Anolis sagrei: one gene and its partners. The protein of the gene in region 2 interacts with the protein of the main gene of each other region in a pairwise test. Links are inferred from orthologs where the notes say so. Each region holds a gene or a part of one and is shown on either strand. Other genes may lie near its edges.

Evidence for each region.
Region 1: the proteins of RINT1 (region 2) and DCX interact in binary tests that used the Homo sapiens proteins (3 or more experiments, as listed by UniProt). The two-hybrid records come from large-scale screens. The link is inferred for Anolis sagrei from reciprocal best matches to the Homo sapiens genes RINT1 and DCX.
Region 3: the proteins of RINT1 (region 2) and SFR1 interact in binary tests that used the Homo sapiens proteins (3 or more experiments, as listed by UniProt). The two-hybrid records come from large-scale screens. The link is inferred for Anolis sagrei from reciprocal best matches to the Homo sapiens genes RINT1 and SFR1.
Region 4: the proteins of RINT1 (region 2) and RIBC1 interact in binary tests that used the Homo sapiens proteins (3 or more experiments, as listed by UniProt). The two-hybrid records come from large-scale screens. The link is inferred for Anolis sagrei from reciprocal best matches to the Homo sapiens genes RINT1 and RIBC1.

What each region holds. Positions count from the first base shown.
Region 1 is NC_090030.1:18,943,248-18,950,709, forward strand, and holds the start of DCX (neuronal migration protein doublecortin), read right to left. Parts: upstream 3,026-7,462; 5' UTR 2,399-3,025; intron 1,998-2,398; exon of another isoform or gene 1,973-1,997; intron 1,413-1,972; exon of another isoform or gene 1,320-1,412; intron 1,134-1,319; exon of another isoform or gene 1,002-1,133; intron 867-1,001; 5' UTR 840-866; coding exon 476-839; intron 1-475. UniProt on the Homo sapiens protein: Microtubule-associated protein required for initial steps of neuronal dispersion and cortex lamination during cerebral cortex development. May act by competing with the putative neuronal protein kinase DCLK1 in binding to a target protein.
Region 2 is NC_090025.1:83,924,657-83,931,585, forward strand, and holds the start of RINT1 (RAD50-interacting protein 1), read right to left. Parts: upstream 3,019-6,929; 5' UTR 2,903-3,018; exon of another isoform or gene 2,895-2,902; intron 167-2,894; 5' UTR 143-166; coding exon 95-142; intron 1-94. UniProt on the Homo sapiens protein: Involved in regulation of membrane traffic between the Golgi and the endoplasmic reticulum (ER); the function is proposed to depend on its association in the NRZ complex which is believed to play a role in SNARE assembly at the ER.
Region 3 is NC_090023.1:213,235,191-213,242,395, forward strand, and holds the start of SFR1 (swi5-dependent recombination DNA repair protein 1 homolog), read right to left. Parts: upstream 3,026-7,205; 5' UTR 2,924-3,025; intron 2,716-2,923; exon of another isoform or gene 2,514-2,715; intron 2,461-2,513; exon of another isoform or gene 2,210-2,460; intron 1,666-2,209; 5' UTR 1,624-1,665; coding exon 1,534-1,623; intron 1-1,533. UniProt on the Homo sapiens protein: Component of the SWI5-SFR1 complex, a complex required for double-strand break repair via homologous recombination. Acts as a transcriptional modulator for ESR1.
Region 4 is NC_090022.1:175,069,041-175,076,069, reverse strand, and holds the start of RIBC1 (RIB43A-like with coiled-coils protein 1), read right to left. Parts: upstream 3,009-7,029; 5' UTR 2,864-3,008; intron 1-2,863. Other genes in the region: SMC1A (structural maintenance of chromosomes protein 1A), read left to right, coding at 3,288-3,396, 6,231-6,419.

The DNA of each region.
Region 1 (7,462 bases), on a different chromosome or scaffold from region 2:
GCAGGAATGTCCCACTCTGGACATTCCACAGATATATAAACCCCATTTTCCTAGTTTCCAGCAGACCTCACAACCTCTGAGGATGCCTGCCATAGATGCAGGCAAAATGCCAGGAGATAATGCTTCTGGAACATGGCCATACAGCCCGGAAAATTCACAACAACCCACATGATTTATTTGCAGGAAATCCCACATCCGGTCTCTGATATTTTCCATAAAGATTTAATCTAAATCTTCCTCTGAGGTCCATTGTTCATATTCCCAACTTCCCTTATCTAGATGAATCAAGAATATAAGAAACTCCAATTTATGAATGAACTCTAATGCTGTGGGAGGTGAATCAATGGGTATAGTATACCCTCCACTGACATTCATGCACCCTAACCTGAGGCATGCTCAGCTCATAATGCGTGAAGCATCAAGGCTTGCAGTGTTCTCCACCCTCCATGCACCAGCATCGCTTGCAGCTCATTACCTTCCTCCAGCTCATCCATGCTCCCAATCTTCCTGTTGCCATCGATGGTGTAAATGTAGCGCACTCCCTGAGGCAGGTTAATGTTATCGGACAGGGACCGGGTCAGGTCGGCAAGCAAGGCGTCGAAGCTCCGGAAACGGTCTCCAGAGACGGCGTACACAATGCCCTTGAAGTAGCGGTCCCCATTGCGATAGAAGCGCACCTTCTTGGCTTTCTTCTCGTTGCTCAGGGCTTGTAAGGTCCGGGTGCGGTAGAAGCTGCAGTGGGCACTGTGAGTGGGGCTCGGCAGGCCGTTCATCCGGGAGCCTCGCATGTTTCTGGACGCCTTGTCTCTTTCGTCAAAGTGTCCAAAATCAAGTTCCATAGCTCGGTGAGCCCTGAAGTTGTGAAGCTGGGAGGTGGAGGAGGAAAGAGTGCAAAGGAAACAAAATATAGTCAGCTAGAAAGAGGAAAACACTGTTAACAGCAGATCTTCAAGCTAAACTTTGTGCTTTCCAATAAAACGAAGCCTTGCCCAATGTCTTACTTTGCTTGGATTGATGCCACAAAGGACTTCCCCCTCCTCTGTGTATTTTTGGGAGTAAGGCACAGGGAATGGGAGGGTCCTATCTCAACAACACAATTGACTGAATGATACACAACCTGGAACCAAAGGATTTCTATCTCTGGCTCAACCCTGGGTTTCTAATAATAGGAGAATGTGATGGAGAGGTTTGTGGGCGTCACTTCAGGATGCATGCCAGCTACAAACAGTTTGAACTGAATGAAGTTCCCCGCAGTTTTGATGCAAAACTTCCCTTCAGCGGTAGATGGATAGAACCAACAATGAAGAGAGGAATCCCACCTTCCAAAGACTTGAGAACCTGTGCTCGGGTATCAAACCTATCCAGATGCTGATGGAGAGACAGCCTGAGCCAAAGGGACCTTTCAAATGAGAATCAAACTGGAATGGCTGATGGCTGGACAGAGATACGGCAACAATGCTGTATCCTTTGTGAGTGTCTGAAAGCCAGAAGAGCAGTCACATCTCACTTACTCACATCTCCAGAGTCACCACTCCCTATGAAAACCCTTGAAATCCTAGAAATTCAGACAAAAAGTATGGGGCGGGGACCGTATTCAAGAGCAGTGGGTGAGTTGATATGAAATGATATTGACACCAGATGTCATTCAATTGGAGAATATGGTTACTTCTCCCTGCACCCTTCCTTTTCCTGTTAATGAAGTGTATTTTAATTGCTGAAGGTGTCTGACAGATGCAGTCTCATCACGCCACCGCAAGAGCACCTTTCATTGTTCACTGCTCTGAGCGCACGCTTAGTGGAATTGGGAAAGCGCCTTAGTTCAGTGTGCGAATAGTGTGGAAAAGGGGAGTGACAGGGATCATCTCAGGTATGAGCTGGAGATGCAAAGGATCCCAGCCCCTCCAAAGGGATCCCACGAAACCTATGAGCCCGATCACTCTTGGCTGTCCAAGGCTATTAGCATGCAACTCACATCTGCTCATCGCAGCTTCGCACAGCTGAAATGGGATTAAAAACCTCAAGGCTGGGTGATCAGGTACAAATCCTGAGAAAAGCTGTTGCTTGCCTTCTGCCAGAGTCTCTGCCTTCCTTTTCGAGGAGTCACGGTGACCTGTCCCTGACCTTCACTCCTGTCATGCAGGGAAGGGAGCTTCCCATTGCTTTTCCTTCACCAGAGTTGCCAAAAAAATCATCCCCACCCAAACCCAGCACTACTTCGCTGCTCTCTAAACATCACACTGGAAACAATGGGAGCTCAATGCAACTTTGAAAAGCCAGAGCTTTGGATGGGGCGTGGACCTCCTTCATCTCCAGCCTGACTCTCTCTTTCCTTCCCCTGCCTTTGGCATCCCATCTCTGCTGCTTTCTCTGCCTGGAAAGGCTTCCAAGGAATACTTACCGGTTTTCAGCTCTTGCAGGGTGGAGATGCTGAGAGAGAGAAAGCCAGCCACACTCTGCCTTTGTTGTCTGAGCTCCAAGCAAGAAATTCCTGCCAGATTTGCCGGGACTCCTCCTAGGTCCTAGTGCCTTGTGTGTGCAGACACACACTGACACACACACACACCCAGGGCCCCTTCTGCAAAGGGTGATCTGGCCTCAGCGAGCTTTGCCGTCAGGGTGGATTGCCATTGGAAGGCACTCTCACTCTAGATTTTCAAGAGGTGCAGCACCCCTTTGGATTGGGGCTCCTCAAATGGCCGCAGAGAGGTGACTGAGCTCCAGTTCGGGGGGCATTGTTCACTGTTTTATTCCCAAATTTTCCAAGAGCGTTACCATCATGATTCTCCAGTGCCAGCTAGAAAAAGCTGGTGCCACTGCATGGTCACTCAGTCTGTGAAGGTGTGGCAAGTGGAGAAAGTTCGATTCTTGACTCCGGCCCAAATCACAGCTTTCTTGCGGACAATGCAAATCAAAGAAGAGGGTGAGCAAGTTGTGATGTCGCCTGGTCCTCTCTGGTTTGTGCTCACACAACAAACCGGACTGTCATCCCCAACATACGGAGATGAGACAGTTTGCTGGCTTTCGCCAAGGACCCCAAGTTTATGGCTCTGCAGATGCATGACATCACCAGCCAACGCCAATCCCCAGCGAGAGCAACGGTCTGGGCTCCTTGCCAACAGCAGCACCAGTCTTCAGAGCAGCAGCGGCCGCCAGTTGTGTTCGGACTGCAGCACCCATCAGCCCTAGGCCACAGAGCCCTCGATGAGGGACAGCGGAGACTGAAGTCCAGTCACATCTGGAGGACAGAGCATTGGTTGTTGCTGATCACTTCACCACAATTCAAATAAATAAATTAAAATAAAATAAATAATAACAGTGAAGATGAAGTAAATGCATAGTGTGTGTATTATCATAACCTAGGCTGCATCGATAGGAGGATAGTTTCCAAATCAAGGAAAGGAATAATACCACTTTATTCTGATTAGGCCACCTTGAATATTGCATCCAGGTCTGGGCTCCATAATTCAAGAAGGAGATGGGCAAACTGGAGGCTGTCCAAAAAGGTCAAAGGTCTGGGAACCAGGAATTAGAGAATTGAGTATGTTTAGATTGGAGAAGAAATAGCAAAGAAGGGACATGATTTGTTGTTGTTCATTCGTTCAGTTGCTTCTGACTCTTCGTGACCTCATGAATCTCATGAACAAGGGACATGATAGCCTTGTGTTAAAAGGCTAACACGTGGGACCTTCTTGTGTTAAAACAGTCATAGGCCAACTTGGGTCCTCCAAGTGTTTTGGACTTCAACTCCCACCATTCCTAACAGCCTCAGGCCCTTTCCTTTCCCTTCCCCCCTCAGCCGCCTCAGCTTAAGCCGCTGAGGAGCGAAAGTATGGGGCTGAAGCTGTTAAGAATGGTGGGAGTTGAAGTCCAAAACACCTGGAGGGCCCAAGTTGGCCATTACCTGTTTTAACACAAGAAGGTCACATGGAAGATGTGTTCTCCATCGCTTCAGAGACTACGATACAGAGCAATAGCTTTAAATTGCAAAAAAAAAGAGATTCCATCCAAACAAAAGTGGGAAAAAATCATGCAGTCAGAGCTTTTGATAGTGAAATCCACTGATGATTTGGAGTCTGGTGGAGTCCACTTCTCTGGAGCCTAGATAGATTCTGCCAGGAGTGTTCGGATTCTGTATTCTTTAATGCATTGGTTCCCAACCTGTGCTCCACGGACCACCAGTGGTCCGCAAGAACTAAAATATGGTCCGTGGACGAATTTTAATGCGACTGGTCTCACAAAATCCTCTTATAGTGCTGAGGCTTATTAATATGGTTTTCTGTGAGTGAGCAGTGGTTTCCAATCTGTGGTCTGTGGACCACCAGTGGTCCATAAGAACTAAAATATGGTCCGTGGACAAATTTCAATGAATGCAACTGGTCTCGCAAAATCCTCTTATAATGCTGAGGCTTATTAAATATGGTTTGCTGTGAGCGAGCAGTGGTTTCCAATCTGTGGCCTGTGGACCACCAGTGGTCAGTAAGAACTAAAATATGGTCCATGGACGAATTTCAACAAATGCGACTGGTCTCGCACAATCCTCTTACAGTGCTGAGGCTTATTAAATACGGTTTTCTGTGAGTGAGCAGTGGTTTCTAATCTGTGGTGTGTAGACCACCAGTGGTCCCCAAGAACTAAAATAGGTTTGCAGACTCACCATTACTACACCATTGCAATGAATGCAGCTGGTCTCACAAAAACCCCTTATAGTGCTGAGACTAATTAAATATGGTTTTCTGTGGGTGAGCAGATGGCTATTAATACTGTTTTTTTACTGGTTTAATGAATGTTTTACATATTGTTTTAATTGTTATTATATTGATCTGCTGTTTTGCTGTTTTAATTTTAGAGTTTTTTAAAACAGGTAGCCAGATTTTCCAGAGGGAAAACAATCAGGGACATCTAATCACCTCTCAACAAAAGATTTCTCCAGGCACTTCCAGGCTATCAAATGCTAATCAAGGTGGTCAGTTGAAACATTCACACCTAGCTCCAGCAGACAAGAGTCCTTTGTCCCACCCTGGTCTTTCCACAGATATATAAACCCATTTTCCTAGTTCCAACAGACCTCACTGCCTCTGAGGATGCTTGCCATAGATGCAGGCGAAACATCAGGAGAGAATGCCTCTAGAACATGGCCATATAGCCTGAAAAAACCTACAACTACCCAGTGATTCCAGCCATGAAAGCCTTCGACAATACATTGATTCATAACCCTTTTGGTACTAATGTTGGAATGTGGTCCCTGGTCAAGTGGCCTCTTGTCAAAGTGGACCCTGGTTAAAAAAAATGGTTGGGGAACCACTGCTTTACTGGCAGAAGGGGGTTAGATTGGATGACCCTAGAAGTCTCTTCCAACTTTATGAGTCTACAATGCTATGATTATCGCTAACAGGCCTCCCTTCCCAGGAGACTCTGGCAAAAACAAACTGCTGCATCCCCTCTTAGCTTGGCTGTTCATCCCAGTGTTCAACCTGAATAAGCAAGTACATTCGTCCTAGGGTTGACCAGGATTGGGTGGATACAAAATCCCTAGCTGGACCAACTCCTGTCTGATGCTTTCTGGGATGCTACCAGCCACCCTTGGAGATGTGGCTCCCCTTGATTACATCCTTTTCTGCCGGCTGTGCGGGTGGACGATGGGGAGGTACAGGGAGCCAAGCAGCTTTTGTGAAGCCATCAACTTAATCATTTCCGACACGGTCAGCAACAGAGTCTCTGGCAGCGCATCCATTTTCCTCCCCATCAATAAATTCATTTAGATAAAGAGGTATGTTAAATATAGCTCCTTGGATTCAATTACCTGGCCTAAATGAAGGAAGCGCTCTATCCTCCGAGCAGTAGCAAAGAGACGCTCTTTTTCCCTGAGCAATTATATTTGAGTAAAGAGAGAGCCGTTTTCCCCCCTTTATTTAGGGGGTGGGGTCTGCACAGAGAGAGCTGGTAATTGTAAATGACCACTGGTTAAATTTCATGGGAGACAGAAACAATACATGGTAGTCTTAAAATGCATCTACGTGGCAGAGTTATTACAGGGTTGCTATGAGTTTTCTGTGCTGTATGACCATGTTCCAGAAGCATTTTCTCCTGACGTTTCACTCACATCCATGCCAGGCATCCTCAGAGATTGTGAGGTTTTTGAGGCATCCTCACAACCTCAGAGGATTCCTGCCATAGGTGTGGGTGAAACGTCAGGAGAAAATGCTTCTGGAACATGGTCATACAGCTCAAAAAACTCCCAGCAACCCAGTGATTCCGACCATGAAAGACTTCGAAAACACAGAGTTATTTCAGTTTGACATTACTTTAACCATTGTGGTTCAATGCTCTTTAGTGCTGGGCACTGCAGTTTTGCAGGATCTTTAGCCTTCTCTGCCAAAAAATGTTGCTATCTCACTAAACTACATCTCCCAGGATTTCAAAGCATTGAGCCATGGCAGGAGTAGTGGAGTCAAACTGCATTAGTGGTACAGTTTAGACTTAATGTGTTATCCTTACTATCCATCTATGTGAATGACCTAGGTTGTCTTACAGCAGTGGTTCTCAATCTTCCTAATGCCGTGACTCCTTAATACCTTTCCTCATGTTGTGGTGACCCCCAACCATAAAATTATTTTCTTTGCTACTTCATAACTGTAATTTTGCTACTGTTATGAATCGTAATGTAAATATCTGACATACAGGATAATAATAATAATAATAATAATAATAATAATAATAATAATCCTTTATTTATACCCCGACAGCATCTCCCACAGGACTCGGTGCGGCTTACAAGAGGCCGAGCCCAAAATACATAATAAAACATAACAACAACAATACAACAATAAATAACTCATAACAAAGCAAAACAATACAATAATGACACGATGCATTTAAAAACCTGTGGCAGGGCCAAATGTAAGGCTTAAAATTTAAAAATGCTGGGCATGTCCAAGGGAAATAGGATGGCTATTTTAGAGATAGGTTCTAAATCTCTCATAAAGTGCATTTGGGACATATTGCTTGGGAGTCCTTATTCTGGGAAGGATGTATTTTCATTCACTGGACCAAATTTGGCACAAACACCCAATGCACCCAAAATTTATTTGGATTGGGGAGGGAATTGATTTTGTCATTTGGGAGTTGTAGTTGCTGGGATTTATAGTTCAACTACTATCAAAGAGCATTATGAAATCCACCAGCAATGGAATTGAAGCAAACTTAGCACACAAAACTCCCACAACAAACAGAAAATACTGGAAAACTTTGGTGGGCGTTGACCTTGAGTTTTGGAGTTGTAGTTCACCTACATCCAGAGAGCAATGTAGGCTCAAACAATGAGAGCTCTGGACCAAACTTGGATGGATACTCAATATGCCCAAATGTGGAGTCTGGGGAAAATAGACCTTGACATTTGGGAGTTGCAGTTTCTGGGATTTATAATTCACCTACAATCAAAGGGCATTCTGAACTCCACCAATGA
Region 2 (6,929 bases):
AGCAAGCTTAGGACATAATTAACTAGTGAAAAACAGATAAAGAGAATACAATTATTAGAAATATGCCTAGAAAATGGCAAATAAATCCACATACCTCTTCAGAGAACAAAGGTTCTTCACTTTCAACCAATGGTTGCGCCATCTCCAAAGAACACGATTAAATATTCTGCAATGAAAGATTATTTACAATTTGATTAATTAAAAGTTGGGCACAACCATATGTATATAGGATTTTATCTTGAAAGCAATGCCAGAAAATTGAAACAGGGTCAAAACCACATATATACACATATACACAAATATACACACACAAAGCACATACACACAGACTGGGCCACAGCAACGCATGGCAGGGGATGGCTAGTCTATATAAATAAAAATGTAATGGTAGTTTGTGGGATTAACATAACTCAAAAACCACTGGACGAATTGCTGCTAAATTTGGCCACAAAACTCCTACTAACCTAATGAGTGCCCATCACTCATCACAGTGGAGGACCTTCTTGCAGCAACACCAGAGGCACTCCAAGTGGCCAGCTACTGGTCAAAGGACATTTAATCAACTACAAAACTCACAAATTTTGTATTCTGTCTGTTTGTTTGCTTTGTTCTGTTAGAAATGTAATATAATCGACTGGTTGAGCTGACACGGTAAATAAATAACCATCACTCAAAAAAACTGTTTTTGTCATTTGGGAGTTGTAGTTGCTGGGATTTATAGTTCACCTACAATCAAAGAGAATTCAGAACTCCACCAATGATGGACTTGAACCAAATGTGGCACACAGAACTCCCCTGACCAACAGAAAACACTAGAAGGGTTTGGTGGGCATTGACCTTGAGTTTGGGAGTTGTAGTTCACCTACATCCAGATAGCATTGTGGACTCAAAACAATGATGGATCTGGACCAAATTTGGCACAAATATTCCATATGCCCAAATATGAACACAGATAGAGTTTGGGGGAATTAGACTTTGACATTTGGAAGTTGCAGTTACTGGGATTTATAGTTCACCTACAATCAAAGAACATTCTGAACCCGGAGTTTCGGGATACGATGTCATCTGTACGCAGATGATGTCCAACTCTGTCACTCCTTTCCATCTACTACTAAGGAGGCTGTTCAGGTTCTGAACCGGTGCTTGGCTGCTGCGATGGTCTGGATGAGGGCGAACAAATTGAAATTGAATCCAGACAAGACAGAGGTACTCCTGGTCAGTCGCAAGGCCGAACAGGGTATAGGGTTACAGCCTGTGTTGGACGGGGTCGCACTCCCCCTGAAGACGCAGGTTCGCAGCTTGGGTGTGATCTTGGATCTTGGATTCAGGCTTCAGCAGTGACCAGGGGAGCATTTGCACAGTTAAAACTAGTGCGCCAGCTGCGCCCGCACCTTGGGAAGCCTGACTTGGCCACGGTAGTCCATGCTCTAGTCACATCCCATTTAGACTACTGCAACGCTTTCTACGTGGGGTTGCCTTTGAAGACTGCTCGGAAGCTTCAAATGGTCCTACGATCGGCAGCCAGGATGCTAACAGGAGCGGCACTCAGGGAGCATACCACTCCACTGCTGCGCCAGCTCCACTGGCTGCCAATTTGCTACCGGGAAGAATTCAAAGTGCTGGCTTTAGCCTTTAAAACCCTAAACGGTTCTGGCCCGACCTACCTGTCCGAACGCGTCTCCTCCTTTGAACCAGTTAGGACATTAAGATCGTCTGGGGAGGCCCTGCTCTCGATCCCGCCGGCTTCACAAGCACGCCTGGCGGGGACGAGAGACAGAGCCTTCTCAGTGGTGGCCCCTCGGCTGTGGAACGCCCTTCCTGCAGATATTAAATCGACCCCCTCCTTGCTGGCATTCCGGAGGAAAGTAAAGACCTGGCTGTTTGAACAGGCATTCGACTAAATAGTGTGATTGATTGACTGACTATCGGAACACGGAATATCGGATAACGAGTTTGGATTCTGATTTCATTGATGAGACCTGATGGATTTGTTATATTGATGTAGTGATGTATTGATATTGATGTTTAATGATGTTTAATGATTTGTGGAGCTATTGCTTTTAAATACTTAATGATTTTGTATTGTGTATACGTAAATTGTTGTGAACCGCTCTGAGTCGCCTAAGGGCTGAGAAGAGCGGAATACAAATTTTTTAAAAAAATAAACCCCACCAACGACAGAATTGGGGCAGAAAATACTTAAGGCCATCCAGTCCAACTCCCTTCACCAGAGCAAGAAAATGTAATCAAAACCCTCCTGACAAAGAGCCATCCAGCTACAGATATAGATAGATATATAAGATTGATACAAAGAGAGATATAGTATCATAGATTTGAAAGGGACCCCTAAAGAAGCACAATTATATGTTGCATATTCCAGAATAGGCAAACCAGACAATCTTCACATCTACATTGACAAAGAAACAGCAATAAATACTGTTTACTCACAAGCATCAAGAAATTACATAGATTAGAAGCCAACATTTTCTCATTACTTTATTTTCCAGATCACCAGACTGAGCCACAGCAACGCGTGGCAGGGGACGGCTAGTTTCATAATAAATGGCGTGGGGAAAGCAATTCCTCTACAAGCAGGCCAAAGAACCAGTTGCCTGCCAATGTTATGGGCAAGGGGGCTTAAATACAGTCCAAGGGCTCCTTTGGAATAGAAGAAATTAGTCAAGGGAGGTGTAATCCTAAATGGAAGAATGCAACTCAGCCCTGGTTGAGAGCAACTGAAAGCAGGACAGTCCTGAGGCGGAGTGGCCATATTTCCTCCCAAGTTTGGCCGTTGCCAGGTAACAACCCCCCCCCATGGAGTAATCCCTTAGCAACCACTCCCCCCCCCCCCCCAATTTTGAGGAGAACGAGGCGCGCGCGAGGCGTCCACCTACCCACTCACCGGCCTCCAGGTTTAAGCCACGCCCCTTCGCTTGCCCCGCCCCTAACAGCGACGCGTCAGCAGCAAACTCTGCCAAACCCGGCAGCCCGCCCTCCTTCTAAGCGAGCAGCAACGCGAGAGCGGAGAGGGGCGCGTGCTCGAACAGGCCCGTCCCCTCGCTCCAAGGGTCACGTGGCCACCGCAGCTGCGTCCCTGCCTGGCCGAGGGAGGGTGGAACAGCCAGCACTCAACTTCCGGCTTGGGTTTCGGAGCCATTTTCCTCCTGCGGCGGAAGTGACGACAGTCCATAACATTACAAAAGGGGGCGAGGTAAGTGGGAGGAAACCCAGCATAGCGAACTTGTGGTTGGCTAGCAAGTTACATGTGCCTCCAAGTTGTGTGTTGTGGCAATTTCATAAGGCTTGGCTTAGGTCAGGAATACTCACACCCCTTCGAGGTCCCTTCTGTATAAATTCTACATTATCTGATTTGAACTGGATTGTATGGCAGTGTGGACCCAGAATGCCAGGGCAGAAAATCCCACAAAATCTGCTTTGAAGTGGGTTATCATAGAATCAAAGAGTTGGAAGAGATCTCATGGGCCATCCAGTCCAACCCCCTGCCAAGAAGCAGGAATATTGCACTCAAATCATCCCTGACAGATGGCCATCCAGCCTCTGTTTAAAAGCTTCCAAAGAAGGAGCCTCCACCACACTCCGGGGCAGAGAGTTCCACTGCTGAATGGCTCACAGTCAGGAAGTTCTTCCTCATGTCCTTGTAGTTTGAAGCCATTGTTTCTCATCCTAGTCTCCAGGGAAGCAGAAAACAAGCTTGCTCCCTCCTCCCTGTGGCTTCCTCTCACATATTTATACATGGCTATCATATCTCCTCTCAGCCTTCTCTTCTTCAGGCTAAACATGCCCAGCTCCTTAAGCCACTCCTCATAGGGCTTGTTCTCCAGACCCTTGATCATTTTAGTCGCCCTCCTCTGGACACATTCCAGCTTGTCAATATCTCTCTTGAATTGTGGTGCCCAGAATTGGACACAATATTCCTGGTGTGGTCTAACCAAAGCGGAATAGAAGGGTAGCATTACTTCCCTAGATCTAGACACTATGCTCCTATTGATGCAGGCCAAAATCCCATTGGCTTTTTTTGCCGCCACATCACATTATTGGCTCATGTTTAACTTGTTATCCACGAGGACTCCAAGATCTTTTTCACACGTACTGCTCTCGAGCCAGGCATTATTGTCCCCCATTCTGTATCTTTGCATTTCGTTTTTCCTGCCAAAGTGGAGTATTTTGCATTTGTCACTGTTGAACTTCATTTAGTTAGTTTTGGCCCATCGCTCTAATCTGTCAAGATAGTTTTGAATCCTGCTCCTGTCCTCTGGAGTATTGGCAATGGCTATCCCTCCCAATTTGGTGTCGTCTGCAAATTTGATGATCATGCCTTTTAACCCTTCATCTAAGTCATTAATAAAGATGTTGAACAGGACTGGGCCTGTTCAAGTAGGAATAAGGCTTGGCTTAGGTCACGAATCCTCACACCTCTTCGAGGTCCTTTCTGTATAAAATCTACATTATCTGCTTTGAAACAAGCATCCCGAGCTCTGAGGATCACCTGGGAAGGAATCCCACTGGAGCATTGCAGCACACCCAAATACCTTGGAGTCACTCTGGACCGTGCTCTGACCTACAAGAAGCACTGCCTGAACATCAAGCAAAAAGTGGGTGCTAGAAACAATATCTCAGATATGCAGATGACACCACTCTGATGGCCGAAAGCGAGGAGGAGCTGAGGAGCCTTCTCATCAAGGCGAAAGAAGAAAGCGCAAAAGCCGGGTTGCAGCTAAACGTCAAAAAAACCAAGATTATGGCAACAAGAATGATTGACAACTGGAAAATAGAGGGAGAAACCGTGGAGGCCGTGACAGACTTTGTATTTCTAGGTGCAAAGATTACTGCAGATGCAGACTGTAGCCAGGAAATCAGAAGACGCTTACTTCTTGGGAGGAGAGCAATGTCCAATCTCGATAAAATAGTAAAGAGTAGAGACATCAGACTGGCAACAAAGATCCGCCTAGTCAAAGCCATGGTATTCCCTGTAGTAACCTACGGATGTGAGAGCTGGACCTTAGGGAAGGCTGAGCGAAGGAAGATCGATGCTTTTGAACTGTGGTGTTGGAGGAAAGTTCTGAGAGTGCCTTGGATTGCGAGAAGATCCAACCAGTCCATCCTCCAGGAAATAAAGCCCGACTGCTCACTGGAGGGAAAGATACTAGAGACAAAGTTGAAGTACTTTGGCCACATCATGAGGAGACAGGAAAGCCTAGAGAAGACAATTATGCTGGGGAAAGTGGAAGGCAAAAGGAAGAGGGGCCGACCAAGGGCAAGATGGATGGATGGCATCCTTGAAGTGACTGGACTGACCTTGAGGGAGCTGGGGGTGGTAACGGCCGACAGGGAGCTCTGGCGTGGGCTGGTCCATGAGATCATGAAGAGTCGGAGACGACTGAACGAATGAACAACAACAACAGAAACAATATCATACAAAAGCTGACTGGCACAACCTGGGGATCACAACCAGACACAGTGAAGACATCTGCCCTTACACTATGCTACTCTGCTGCTGAGTATGCATGCCCAGTGTGGAACACATCTCACCATACTAAAACAGTGGATGTGGCTCTTAATGAGACATGCCGCATTATCACGGGGTGTCTGCGCCCTACACCACTGGAGACATTACACTGCTTATTGCACCACCTGACATCCGCCGGGAAGTAGCAGCCAATAGTGAAAGGACCAAGGCAGAGACCCCTTCAGCTCATCCCCCGTTTGGGTATCAGCCAGCACGTTGACTTAAATCAAGACATAGTTTTCTTAGATCTACAGAGACACTCGCTGGAACACCTCAGCAAGCGAGAGTCCAAAAGTGGCAGGCTCAAACCCATTCTACACTGCCAGACAATCCACTTTATCAAAGCAGAAAATCCACACTATCTGATTTGGATTATTTTTGGCCCCTTCCACATCTTCTATATAAATAAAAATCTAATGTTAGCTTGTGGGATTAACATAACTCAAAAAACACTGGACGAATTGACACAAAATTTGGACACAATACACCTATCAGGCCAACAAGTGACCATCACTAATAAAAACACTGAAAAACACAGCGGAGGGTCTTAAAAAGCTAAAAAATCAAAAAGATGCTACAGCACATATGCAAAAACAACTCCCCTGGCAAACAAAACACACAATAGTGAAGTCGTCCCATTGGCTTCAATAGCATATTCATTTGCCTGGTGTCCCTATGGGATGTCTCTTACTTGATGTCCAGATGTCTCTTACTTGATGCCTCTTATAAAGGATATCCCTTGTTTAAGTCTTGGAAGCTTTCCTTTTATACATACAGAACAAGATGCCTCAAAAATCCTGTATTGTGGCATGTGAGCTTTCCATAAAGACAGAAACGTGTACCTGTGTCATTTATGAATGTGTGCAATGTGATCATTTTACAGAGATAAAGGTTGGTGTTTAGCTGGAACACAAAGCCTATTAATAGTGATTTCTGATTTTATCATTTTTATTTGCCATCTTTTCATAATAACAGTGAAAGCAGGGGAACAAAACCGGAGTGAAAGAAAGTAGGAAATTAGATAGAGAGGAGGGTTACTAGTGAGGGGTTGGACTAGAGTGGGAAGGGGATGGAACGGGGGAGGGGAAGTAGGGAAGGAGTGGGGTGAATAGAGAAAAATAGGGGGGTTAAGGGACTTCCAGTCCATGCCACAGAGAGATAATATTTCCCAAATAATATTTTTGTGGATAGTCCGCTATTTTTGTTATTTCGGGGTTTTTTTCTTTTCTTTTTTTCCCCATTCTTTTTCCGAATTTTTATAATTTCATCTTCTCTTGCAGGTAAATTTTCAGTGGTAGCCAGTTGGTTATGGTCTTTAAGTAGTTGCGTATTCATATATTCTATTACTTTCGCTGTCCATTCCTCAATTGAGGGGGGGGGGGGGGGCTATTAAAAGTGATTT
Region 3 (7,205 bases), on a different chromosome or scaffold from region 2:
TTGGAACTAGTTTCACTGTGCAAAGGATTTGAAAACAAACCAGTGATGACATTGAAAATGGTACACAGTCTCAAACCACTATGCAGGTATCTCCTGTAATACATGTTGCAGAGCGCAATAGCAATTTACATGTTGTGGCTTCAAGTCATCTTGAAGCTGCGTTATACAATGTTACTGACAGCCTGGGAGCTGGAGATGAGGAGCACTTCATTGCCACTGAAGCCAGGACAGGACTGTGAGCACAGGAGCGCTAGCAGCCACAACAGCATCAAGGGATGCGTGGGGGGGGGGGGGGGGTTATCATTTTTGCTTATTTGCAAATAAGTTCCACTGTGCCTTCCCAGAATAAGGAAACTCCCAACAATATGTCCCTAAATGCACTTTAGTAGTGATCTAGGATTGTCTGCACGCTCTATCCCTCTCCAAAATTTTTATCTTGTTTATTGTCACCTTGTCACGGCCAGCATTATTTTTTAAATTTTTAATTAGTACATTTGACCCTGCCATAGGTTTTTAAACGTCGTTGTGTTATTGTTAATATTTATTGCTATTTTCTGTTTATGAGTTTTATTTATTGTTTTTATTACTGTTGCTATTGTTCCAATGTTGTATTGTGGGCTTGGCCTCATGTAAGCCGCACCGAGTCCCTTGGGGAGATGGTAACAGGGTACAAATAAAGTATTATTATTATTATTATTATTATTAAACCACCCCTCTCCCTGCTCTGAGCAACCCAACAGGGAGGGCACAGTGTGGAGACTGTGGTACAGGCGACCGTTCTTGGGAGTGACACGATGTGTTCAGCACAGGCTGTCACAGTGGCCATCCTTTTGGTGTCACCTCCACCACAGGCCTCTACACTGCCCTAGTGACAACACTGCACCTAGGCAGTCAAACAGTTCAAAAACAATGCTGCGATTAACCAGAATATAAATCAAACCAGGTTTTTGATTTGGGGTTGTTGTTTTTTTTGTCAATTTGCGGGGACATAACTCAAGTATATATAGGAACTAAATAAATTGCAAGTGGAGTGAAGGAATCCCTTAGCAAATTAATTATAATTGTTACTTTCAATACTGGAGAAACCAATTAGTTACACATAGATCTGTTATAGGCATATGTACTATACTGTGGAGTTATGTTTGTCAGTATAGCCAAGGTTTGCACAATTCTACATAAAATCAGGCTTCACAACAATTTGGAAATACAGTAGATTCAGTTAACCAGAACTCTTGAAGCAACTGGCAAAAAACCCACAGAGAAATAATATTTTAAATTTAAAAGGCTTTTATAATGCAGCAAAACTGTAAAACTATTACATTAAATGGTTTGCCTTTATTTGCTTTTAATTATATATTTTAATATTAATATCAAGCCAATAGTGTTTATGGTACAGAAAGAAGTCGAATATTCTTAATAGAAACTCCCAAAAAACCAAAAACTACCTTTATCCAGCATCTCTCAATCCCCATGAGTGCCGGTTAACTGAATCTCCTGTGCTAACAAGAGAACTGGAAATATTAGGCAACATACCTGTTTCTCTGAGGAGCTGCTGCTTTTCAGACCACTACTTTCTGGAGTGGAGCATAGTGATGTAGGTTCATTTAACACAGTTGTTTCCATTGTGAGAACTGACTAATGGTTTGCTGTGAGTTGACTAATGTACTGGAGAGAGAGAAAAAATCAAGGTTTACATGTGGGCATGTTTTAAAGCCATGGATGGTTGAATCTCTGGGCACAGAAACCATGAATATCGACCAATGAGCATAATAATGGTGATGAAAAAGCCAAAACCAAGGTTACCACATCTGTTACTAGAACTCCAGTATGCTGATGACAATGTCGTCTGTGCGCATTCAGAAGATCTACAAGCCACTCTAAACACCTTTGCAGAAGCATACGAGAAGCTCGGCCTGTCACTGAACATTGAGAAAACCAAAGTGCTGTTCCGCAATCACCGTCCAATCCCTCTCCAATGCCAGAGATACAGCTTAATGGTGTAACATTAGAAAATGTTGACCATTTCCGCTACCTTGGCAGCCACCTCTCCACCAAAGTCAACATCGACGCCGAAATACAACACCGCCTGAGCTCTGTGGGTGCAGCATTTTTCCGAATGAATCAGAGAGTGTTTGAGGACCGGGACATCTGTAGGGATACCAAGGTGTGTGTTTATAAAAGCTATTGTTCTCCCAACACTGCTATACACCTGCGAAACGTGGACTGTCTACAGACGTCACATGCAACTCCTGGAACGATTCCATCAGCGCTGCCTCCGGAAAATTCTGCAAATTTCTTGGGAAGACAAGCGGACAAACGTCAGAATGCTGGAAGAAGCAAAGACCACCAGTATTGAAGCGATGGTCCTCCGCCATCAGCTCCGGTGGACCAGCCACGTTGTCCGGATGCCTGACCACCGCCTCCCAAAGCAGTTGCTCTACTCCGAACTCAAGAACGGAAAACTGAATGTTGGTGGACAGGAAAAGAGATTTAAAGATGGGCTCAAAGCCAACCTTAAAAACTCTGGCATAGACACTGAGAATTGGGAAGCCCTGGCCCTTGACCGCTCCAGCTGGAGGTCAGCTGTGACCAGCAGTGCTGCAGAATTTGAAGAGGCACGAATAGAGATTCTATAGCATTGAGCCGTGGCAGTTTGAAGTGGTAACAAACTGCATTAATTCTACAGTGTTGATCAGACCTGGCCAAGCTTCGGCCCTTCAGGTGTTTTGGACTTCAACTCCCACAATTCCTAACAGCCTACCGGCTGTTAGGAATTGTGGGAGTTGAAGTCCAAAACACCTGAAGGGCCGAAGCTTGGCCAGGCGTGATGTAGATGCACCCCAAGGCCTTCTGTCGTACTACAATGTCCATTAGCCGTGAACCAAAGGGTCCCTCGTTCCTTTCCTCCGTCTCTTCTTATTACCTCAGAAGCCAAATCTCTCCCAAACTCCCGCCGCCGGGGAAGCCGACCGAAATCTCTTCTCGCGATCTTTCAACGCGGATCGGTGTGCGCCTGCGCAGTGCGATCTGAAAAGGGCGGGGGAGGGAAAGGAGGCTGGAAGAAGAGATGTCTATACTGTAAGGCAGGCCTGGGCGAACTTGGGCCCTCCCTCCAGGTGTTCTGGACTTCAACTCCCACAATTCCTAGCAGCCTCAGGCCCCTTTCCTCCCCCCCCCCCCCAGCCGCTTTTCTATCTATCTATCTACCTATCTATCTAAATATATCAGGTATGGGCAAACTTTTTGGCCAACATAAACTTTTGCCATACAGGAAAAGCGTAATCAAAACTCCCCCAACAGATGGCCACCCAGTCTCAATAATAATAATATTAATGATGATGATAATAATAATAATAGAAGCAACCCCAGGGGCCATCTAGTCCAACCCTCTTCTGCCATGCAGGGAAAGCACAATCAAAGCACCCTCAACAGATGGCCACCCAGCCTTCTCAATATTATTATTATTGTTATTAATAATAATAATAATAATAATAATAATAGAAGCAACCGCAGGGGCCATCTAGTTCAACCCCCTTCTGCCATAGAAGAAAAGCACAATCAAAGCACACACACACACACACACCCCATAGCTGGCCACCCAGCCTTTGTAATCATAATTATCATCATTGTAATAATAGTACACCCACATAATAATAATAATAATAATAATAATAATAATAATAATAATAATAGAAGCAATCCCAGGGCATTGTAGTCCAAGCCCCTTCTGCCATGCAGGGAAATCACAATCAAAGCACCCCCAACAGATAGCCACCCAGCCTTTATGATAACAACAACAACAACAACAACAATAGAAGCAACCCCAGGGGCCATCTAGTACAACCCCCTTCTGCCATGGAAGAAAAGCACAATCAAAGCACCCCCCCCCCCCCAATAGATGGCCACCCAGTCTTTGTAATCATAATTATCATCATTGTAATAATAGTACATCCACTCAATAATAATAATAATAATAATAATAATAGAAGCAACCCCAGGGCAATCTAGTCTAAGCCCCTTCTGCCATGCAGGGAAATCACAATCAAAGCACCCCCAACAGATGGCCACCCAGCCTCAATAATAATAATAATAATAATAATAATAATAGAAGCAACCCCAGGGGCCATCTAGTTCAACCTCCTTCTGCCGTGCAGGAAAAGCACAATCAAAGCACCCCCCAATAGATGTCCACCCAGCCTTTGTTATCATAATTATCATCATTGTAATAAGAGTACACCCAGACTCAATGATAATAATAATAATAATAATGATAATAATAGAAGCAATCCCGGGGCCATATAGTCCAACCCCCTTCTGCCATGCAGGAAAGCACAATCAAAGCACCCCCAACAGATGGCCACCCAACCTCAATAATAATAATAATAATAATAATAATAATAGAAGCAGCCCCAGGAGACCATCTAGTTCAATCCCTTTCTGCCATGGAAGAAAAGCACAAAGCACCCCCAACAGATGGCTACTAGGCCTGGGTAACAACGGAAAAATTTGTTTCTAAAATCGATTTGTATTTGGGGGCTTTTTTGTTTCGATATTTAAAATAATTACAAAATTTTCCTTTTAAAAAGTTTGATATTTACGAAATTTCGTAAATGTGAAAAAAATTACAAAACATTAACGAATCGATTTCCGAATCAATAACGAATCGATTCGTTAATGGCGGACGCGACCGCGAAATACGCTAAAAAACCTCCAAAAACTTCTGAAGCTTCCCTCTCCCTCTGTTGTTGACTGTTGGTGTGATATTATAATTTTTTTTCACTAATTAAACAAAAAACTTGCCCCAGACATGCGGAAATAATAACGAAACGACCTCAGAACAATAACGAAACGAACACAATAACAAAATACGAAGCATTTACAAAACGTGTTTAAAAATTCGTTTTTTTAAAAAATTGCTCCAGAATGGTTCGTTATCGTTTTGTAATTGGAAAAATTAACGAATTATTAACGAATTATGAATTAACGAAACGAAACCGCCCAGCCCTAATGGCTACTCAACCTCAATAATAATAATAATAATAATAATAATAATAATAATAATAGGGGTCATTCAGTCTAACCTCCTGCCATGCAGGAAACGCACAATCAAATAATTCCCCGAGGGATGGTCATTCAGGCTTTGTAACAACAATAACAGCAGCAGAAACCCAAGGGGCCATTGCAGAGTCCCTCGGCATGCTTCATGGAGCCCCAAGGAGCATGCTTTAAGAACCACTGAATTAAAGGTACATAAACAGCAAGGCTGTAGGTTTCCCTTTGTATCAGGGCTTTGTGATTCTTCTGCAGAAGGTGGCACAAAGGAGTCTTTGCAGCTTTCATTGATGATAGGCTTCAGTGCAAAAGTCTTTATAAAAAAAATGGCAGGAGGATGAGGATTTTGCAACTTAGAAGAAATCATAAAGATATACAACAACCTATAAAGATATATTCAAGGTGGAATAACAGATATGACTAGAATAAGTTCTTCAATGTGACAAGTTAACATTCCTACTCACTGTAAACCTTTCCTGGTTGCTTTAGCAAAAAACACAGATTCTTTGCAGGGTTGGGGTTCCTGAGGCCTTATAGGTGTCGGAGTGCAAGTCCCATCATCCCTGAATGCTTGGAAATTATGGCACCTGAGTCCAACAACAACTTTCCCATGTTTCACATAAACTGCTTTTCAGCCATTCAGAGCTAATCAAGATGGCCAATTGCTACATTCAAACCTACCTGAAACAGACAAGAGTTCTTTCTCCCACCCTGGACATTCCACAGATATATAAACCCCACTTGCCTATTTTCCAACAGACCTCACAACCTCTGAGGATGCCTGCCATAGATGTGGGTGAAACATCAGGAGAGAATGCTTCTGGAACATGGACATACAGCCTGGAAAACCTACAACACCCCAATGATTTCGGCCATGAAAGCCTACAACAATACATTCCCCATGTTTAGTTTATAAATATGACCAATACAGCCTGGACATTTCACCTCTGACATGTTTGAACATTTGTCTTTTTAATCTATTTAAAGAGCCAAACGTAAGTACTAGATGGAAGCTATTGTATATGATGCTTCTTCTTCATCATATGTAGCTACTTAATAAAGCCAGCCCTACTGTTAAGCAAAGTAAGGCTGCTACTTCATTTAGCAAAGATAACGTACAATAAGAACTGAATAAGCATAGCACCATCCATCCTCCCCCCCCCCCTGTAAGAATATTGTGCCAGCACTTCTCAAGGGAGATAGAATCTATTCTGTCATCCCCAAGGCTGCTCTAAGGGTGCATCTACACTCCAGAATTAATGCACTTTGACACCACTTAAACTGTCATACCTCCATGCAATGGAATCATGGGAGGTGTCTTTTGATGAATTAATAGCACTCTTTGGCAAAGAAGAATAAAGAACACTTTATATCATTTGCCATATATTAACCAAAAAAGGAAACAGAAATTGAGAGAAATGGCAACGTTCCCAGCATTGTTGACATTACCGACTGTGGAGACAGAAGACTGATGCAGTAAAAATAGCCATTATTTATGCTTCCAACTTTTCAGGGATCTGCCAGCAGAAGTTACAAGTACAAGCCAAAGTACTTTTAAAACGTATGTTCTGGTACGAGCATTTGGATGAGTTTGTTTGTACTTTGTTGGGGAATGAAAGAGTTAACAACTACCATGTCAGGCTACACAGAGAAGCCATTGAAATCCACAAACATGTGGACAATATCAACAGAAAGGAAGAAACCATGAAAATGAACAAAATCTGGCTACTAGTATTAAAAAACACTAAAATTGTAACAGTAAATAAAAAACAACACTCAGAGGAACTCCAGACAAGAAACAATCAGGGACAGCTAATAACCCCTAAACAAAGGATTCCCCCAGGCAGTAATACACCTAGAAAACTGTCAGGCCATCAAATGCTAATCAAGGTGGCCAATTAAAACATTCCCATCTAGCTCCAACAGACAAGAGTTCTTTCTCCCACCCGGGACTTTCCACAGATATATAAACCCAATTTTTCTAGTTTTCAACAGACCTCACAACCTCTGAGGGTGCCTGCCATAGATGCTGGTGAAACATCAGGAGATAATACTTCTAGAACATGGCCATACAGCCCGAAAAACCTATAACAACTCAATGAAAGAGTTAATCTTCCCCCACACACTTTCTATACACAGCTGCTATTTCAAAA
Region 4 (7,029 bases), on a different chromosome or scaffold from region 2:
AGAATTTATCTTGTCCGTAACTCAAGGACTGTATGTATACTAATCTATTTTAATGTTTACTATACTAAATGCTTGTAGTTGTCCAGAGTCTCAAGCAAAATACTTTTAAAGTCACACCACAGAGATGGGCCACCTGAAACCATCCATAAACATTTAGTGATTTTTCACATGCATCTTATATGTCTAGTGCTTGAAAATAACTGAGTGCATTATATTTTAAAATAAATGTTGTTCATGAAATAGCACATTATCAATTGGAGCATTTTGAATTTCAGAATTCCAATTAAAGGGTAATCAGCCTTATATTATGGCCCCTTCTACACTGCCATATAAAATCCAGATTATCTGCTTTGAACTGGATTACATGGCAGTGTAGACTCATCATTATATAATATATATATATGAGGGTTGAATGAAAAGTAATGCCTCCACCTTTGTTACTTGGGTTTGGATGGGAATATTTTAATAAATCAAATGCAGAAATAATCCTTAGAATGTGCTCTTTAGCTACCACTATTCACTTTTCCACATAATCACCAGACCATTGGATACATTTCTGCCAACAATGAACAATTTTTCTGAAGCCATCATGGAAGAAGTCGACACTTTGTTTCCGAGACCCATCCTGCACAGATCTTCCGATAGCCAAGCAAAGCAATAATGTGACCCACACGTTCTTGTGAAATGCCGATTATGCTTGAGATTTCTCTCTGAGTGATACGACGATTGTCCTTAATCAATCTGTCAACCTTTTGCTTGCTGTCACAGGACGTCCAACTCTTTGTTTGTCACGCAAGTCAGATGTTCCCACCTCAAAATCTTTAAACTCACTCGCCCAATGATGCACAGTACTCACATCAACACAACCACCATAAACAGCTTGCATTCTCTGATTAATCTCCTTTGGGGTGACACCTTCTGCTGTCAAGAATTCAATGACTGCACGTTGCTTAAGTCGCATTGACCGACCATCTGCACAGGGTTCCATACTTTGCACTTTAACAACACAACCATTCAATGCTAAGGCTTCCCGCCAAAATGGAACTGTAGAGGAGAGTCTACTGAACAAGCCAGTACCTGCCGCATACCAGTACTGCCATCTGTTGAAGAGTTTCGAAGGTGGAGGCATTACTTTTAATTCAACCCTCGTATTTCTCCCTACTCCTAGATGGAATCTAGAGCTTCAGACATTATAAGCACCACATAAGTAGTATCTGCAAAAATATACCCTTATTCCTTGGAGGGAGGATTTCCTTCAAAGCATCTATTTGTTTCTCAAAAACTAATTTACATGGCTCATAATCCTCTGTGTTAAAAGAAACATATTTTGGTACCTAATCAAACAATCCAGTTCAGATCAGATAATCTGGATTATATGGCAGCGTAAAAGGGGCCTCAGTGACTATCCACAATGTGATGAGTCACTTTAACTGCCATGGCTCCATTCTATTGAATCCTGGGATTCGTTTCTTGTTGTGGCACCAGAGCCCTCTGACCCCTTCCACACAGCTGTATGAAATCCACATTGAACTGGATTATATGGCCGTGTGAACTCAGATAATCCAGTTCAAAGCAGATACTGTAGATTATCTGCCCTGATATTCTTGATTATATGACTGTGTGGAAGGGAAGGGGAAGTATCTCACAAAACTACAAATCCCAGAATCCCATAGCATTTATTTATTTATTTATTCACGACATTTATACGCCGCCCTTCTCACCCCGAAGGGGACTCAGAGCGGCTTACAAGCAAAAAATAAATACATTATATTATATTATTACCATAGCACAATATTAATATTACTAGCCGTCCCCTGCCAAGTGTTGCTGTGGCCCACATGAGGGTTCTGTGTGGGAGGTTTGGCCCAATTCTATCGTTGGTGGGGTTCAGAATGCTCTTTGACTGTAGGTGAACTATAAATACCAGCAACTACAACTCCCAAATGTTAAGATTCTATTTTCCCTAATTGGGCATATTGAGTATTCATGTAAAGTTTATTTATTTATTTAAAAGTTTTCTATACCGATCTTCTCATCTCCAAGAGGGACTCAGATCCGGTTCACAACATGTGTTCGTATACAAAAATACAAACCACACAATGTATTATCATTACACAATTAAAAACATATTACAATACAACACCGTCATCATCACACTTACACAGCCACATCGTCAAAACATTCCTGGTCATAATTCACAAAGTTTGGTCCAGATCCATCACTGTTTGAGTTCACAGTGATCTCTGGATGTAGGTGAATTACAACTCCAAAACCAAAGGACACTGCCCACCAAACCCTTCCAGTATTTTCTGTTGGTCATGGGAGTTCTGTGTGCCAAGTTTGGTTCAATTCCATCATTGGTGGGGTTCAGAAAGCTCTTTGAGTGTAGGTGAACTATAAATCCCAGCAACTACAACTCCCAAATGACAAAATCATGTTTTTGAGTGAGGGACATACATTGGGTTGTTAGGTGTCTTGTGTCCAAATTTTGTGTCAATTCATCCAGTGGGTTTTGAGTTCTGTTAATCCCACAAACAAACATTACATTATATATATATAACATTGTACTATAACATTATACTGTAATATTAGTAATATTACATTTAATATAAAATATATAATTATCATATTATTAGTAGTATTATATTGTATTACATTATAATATTATCATTATTATATGTATATACAATATATTATATTATTGAGCCATGGCAGTTAATAAGATGCTATAATTCCGCCTCTGGACTGAGACTCCCAGCATCTCTCAACAGGCCAGGGCTGCTGGGCTTTGTAGTGCCATAAAGTGTAGGCAACCTGATCAGAGGCCCCTTCCTCTGCACGACCCGACTCGCCTGATGCTCACCTTTCCTAGACGGCGCTTGCTTTCTGGTTGCTGTGACAACGAGCCACTTTAAATGATGTCATCTTTGGAAAGGGCTCATTGGCTGCGCTCGAACCTATCAGCACAGTGAGAAGTTCGGAGTAGGCGGAGCTTGCCGCAGGAAGGAGGTCCCCTGCTGAGCTGAGGCGGAAAAGGGGAGGAGCTCCGAATGCAAATTTTACGCGGCAGCGGCATCCTATCAGCGACCGCGATGTCGTAAGAGGCGGAGCCTAAAGTGAGCCGTAATCAACTCTCGCGAGGTTTCAAGACTCCCGCCCTTCTCGTGGACGGCGGCCGAGAGTAGTAATCAAGAGGGGCCTACGGGGCCTTGTGTCCCCCACCGCGCCCCGTAGTTTTGCTTTGCGTCCACCTTTTCTATCTCCCCCCCGTTTCCCCAACCCGCGGAATGGGGTTCCTCAAGCTGATCGAGATCGAGAATTTCAAATCGTACAAAGGGCGGCAAATCATCGGGCCCTTCCAGAGCTTCACGGCCATCATCGGGCCCAATGGATCCGGTAAGGCGGGCCTCCCCGGGATCTAAGGACACAACACCGAATCGCATGGCATTTCAGGGAAGGGTAGAGTAGGGAGCATGTCCAGATAACCCAGGGTCCTACCACATCCATTTGAAATCCAGATTATCTTATTTGAACTGGATTATAGGGCAGTGTGGACTTGTATAATCCAGTTCAAAGCAGATAATATGGATTTTAAACAGCTGTGTAGAAGGGGCCTAAGAGTCAAATGCTCAGTCACACTACTCAGTACCTGTAGACTGAGGGTCCTTCCAGGCAGGCCCTTTATTCCAGGCTTTCTGTTTATCCCAGATTATCTGGCAGTGCAGATGATATTGAGCCTGAATTTGGGAGAGTCTCCCCGGTAGAAGAGACTCCTAGGACTGCACCAAAGAGAGTCCCTTGTCCTTGGCGAGCCGTCAGAAGAAGCCTGATTCCAGCAATTTTATTGATATTAATAATTGAAATGAGACTCTTGCCAAGGTGAAGAAGTGGCACCGAGGTTTATTAGCGATTCAGCTGAAGCGGATGCAATTGCAGTGATCATTCACATGCAAGCATACCAATACATTGATCAGAGGCATATTTATAGCAAAATACAGATTTGAAAGTTTCAAAACTCCCTCCCTCTTCGGCTCCTTAGCAAATCAGGGAGAGGGAGGCAGGACGGAAGAGGGGCATTGTGTCCAGAGAGGATGATGACATTCCACTGTCCTTTGCCCGAGGGATCAGCCAGCCAAGGAAACCAGTTTTTTTGTTCTTGTGATGGATCAGTGATTAGGGATAATCATTTGATTCAGGTTTTCCCCTTCCAGGATCAGATAAGGTGTGTTGGTTTTGATAGGTTTTTGGATGAAACAAACAGAGCAGGGCAAGAAGACCCCTGGGGCCAGTCTCGCCCCTTTGTGATTAAATTAAAATGTGATCAGAGAAATTCCCTGTTTACCAGGCCAACTCAGAAAAAAATAAACAAAGAATTTCCAGTTGCTATTGTACATGCAAATGTCTGTGATAAGGTTGGTTTCGAGGGAACAACAGCCCCCTCAGGCACTGAGTGGTTTTTCCTGGTCGCCTTTTTTTGGGCAAGGGTAAAGGGGGCAAAAGGTATTTCATAGCAAGATACATACATTCAAATCATAAGCATTTCATAGCAACAAAACCCCATCTTTGTCCCACATCCCAAATATATTTAATAAGAGGATTAATTTTCATGAAGAAGCCTGAAGTCCAATGTTTTAAAAGGTCTTTGAGGAAAGTTCATGAGGGAGATAGTATGTACTGAAGTCCAAGACATGCAGGCAGAGAGTCCATGATCATTGGGAAGGCTAGCAGATGAAACCCCAGCTGTGCTGCAACTGATTCACACTTTGGTCCTTGGGAAACTACGACTCTCACGAAGGGCAGAAGTCCCAAGATCCAGCCGTTTCCCAAAAGCCTCGTGGGGTCCTTGTTGTTGTCAGTGCCTTGGCAATGTGACCAAGACTTAACCCCTTACTGTGCAGTCTGGTGCGCTTGCCCTTTGCAGGGCTACAAGTCACCATCCCCCATTCTGGGGGGGGGGGGGGTGCTCGGCTTCACAGACTCGTATAATTCAGTTCAAAGCAGAAAACGTGGGATCCGATCCTGGAAGGGACCTGAGTCTACCCTGCCATATAATCCAATTCAAAGCAGATAATCTGGATTTTATTTGGCAGTATAGAAGGGGCCTTCGTCTTCTTCTGATTTCTTGACTGCAGCGCGTTCTGTTTAATGAGTGAGGCAAAGTATAGAACTATTTCAGTGTTTTTTTAATTTTTAATTTATTTATTTTATTAATCGAATTTATATACCACCACTCCCTGAAGGCTCGGAGCGGTTTACAACATACATATGCAATACATTACATTATTATTATTATTATTATTATTATTATTATTAATTTTATTTGTACCTCACTAGCATCTCCCGAAGGACTCGATGTGGCTTACACAGGCAAAGGCCTCAATAAAAACATAGCATAACAAAATACACAACTTAAAACAAATCAAAGCAATTAAAGCAATATCAAACAACAAAACAATAAAACAATATACCAAAACACAAGAAAACAGGGCCGGGCCAATGTAATGGGTACAGGTTAAAATGAGTACAGGCTGATGTGGCAGGTGGTATATCAGATTTTAGGGTAAGTGCAGTGTGCGGGCAATCTTAAACTCTAATAAAGTGCTTCTGGGACATGTTACTGGAGTTTTCCTATTCTGGAAAGGCACATCGGAACAGCCAGGTCTTCAAGTTCTTCCTAAAGACTACCAAGGTAGGGGCCTGTCTGATATCTTTAGGGAGGGAGTTCCAGAGTCAGGGGGCTACCACAGAAAAGGCCCTGTCTCGCGTCCCCACCAGACATGCCTGCGACGCAGGTGGGATCGTGAGCAGGGCCTCTCCGGATGAACGAAGAGAACGTGTAGGTTCATAAACAGAGATGCGGTCACGTAGGTAGGATGGTCCCAAACCATTTAGGGCTGTGTAGGTAAGCACCTGCACCTTAAATTGGGCTTGGAAAATAAACAGCAGCCAATGGAGCTCCTTGAACATTTAAAAACAAAGAAAATAATTCAATCAATCAGTTTGTCTAACTTTAAAGTTATGAAGGTTATCTGTGGTCATTATTTTTGTTTTCTTATGTTCAACTGTAAACTAACATTTGCATTTGCTTCCTTTACCTTCTTCAGTAATAATTCGGAGTCTTTATTATTCGTTGCTAAAATCTTGAGACTAAGAAACTGTGACAATGAAAACATCAACATAATATTGATAACATGGTTTCAATTTGTTCTGTCTTTGCTGTATCTAACCAGGGAAATCAAACCTCATGGATGCTATCAGCTTTGTGCTTGGTGAGAAGACCAGTAATTTGAGAGTGAAGACCTTAAGGGACTTGATCCATGGGGCTCCTGTGGGAAAGCCAGCTGCCAACCGGGCATTTGTCAGCATGGTCTATTCTGAAGAAAATGTTGAAGATCGCACCTTTGCAAGGGTCATTGTTGGTAAGCTTTGTGGACAAAATGGGAAAATCTTAGCAGACTTCATATTTGGGATTCAAGAGGGGGTTATGTGGGGAGCTGTAGGATATGTTGCTAGTTGCAGATCAGAACCACATGTTGAGTTACTCAAAGTGTATGTTGCTAAGAGAATGATGGGGTTTTTTTTTTTTTAGCCTTAAACAAATATATGGAATATCTGGGGGGAGCCAAATCTTCTGGATGTATACTCAGAAGTGGTTCCCACTGTGTTTTCTGAGCCTTATTCTGTTGCAAATGTGCACATGGGCGAGAGCCAGCACAGTATTGTAGTTTGAGTGTTGGGCTATGACTCTGGAGACCAGGGTTTGACTACCTACTTGGTCATGGAAACCTGCTGGCTCATCTGGAAAAGCCAGTGTCTTAGCCTCGGAGGAGGGCAAAGCCAACCCTCTCCCCCTGAAGAATCTTGCCAAGAAAATGCATGGATAGTGTTGCAATAATTTAGAAACAACTTGAAAACACACAGCAACAATTCCATTACAAATGTGCATGTAGCTATAATTTTAATCAAGTCTGAAGTCTTTCAGTTCTTGTGGGTTTTTTCGGGCTATATGGCCATGTTCTAGAGGCATTT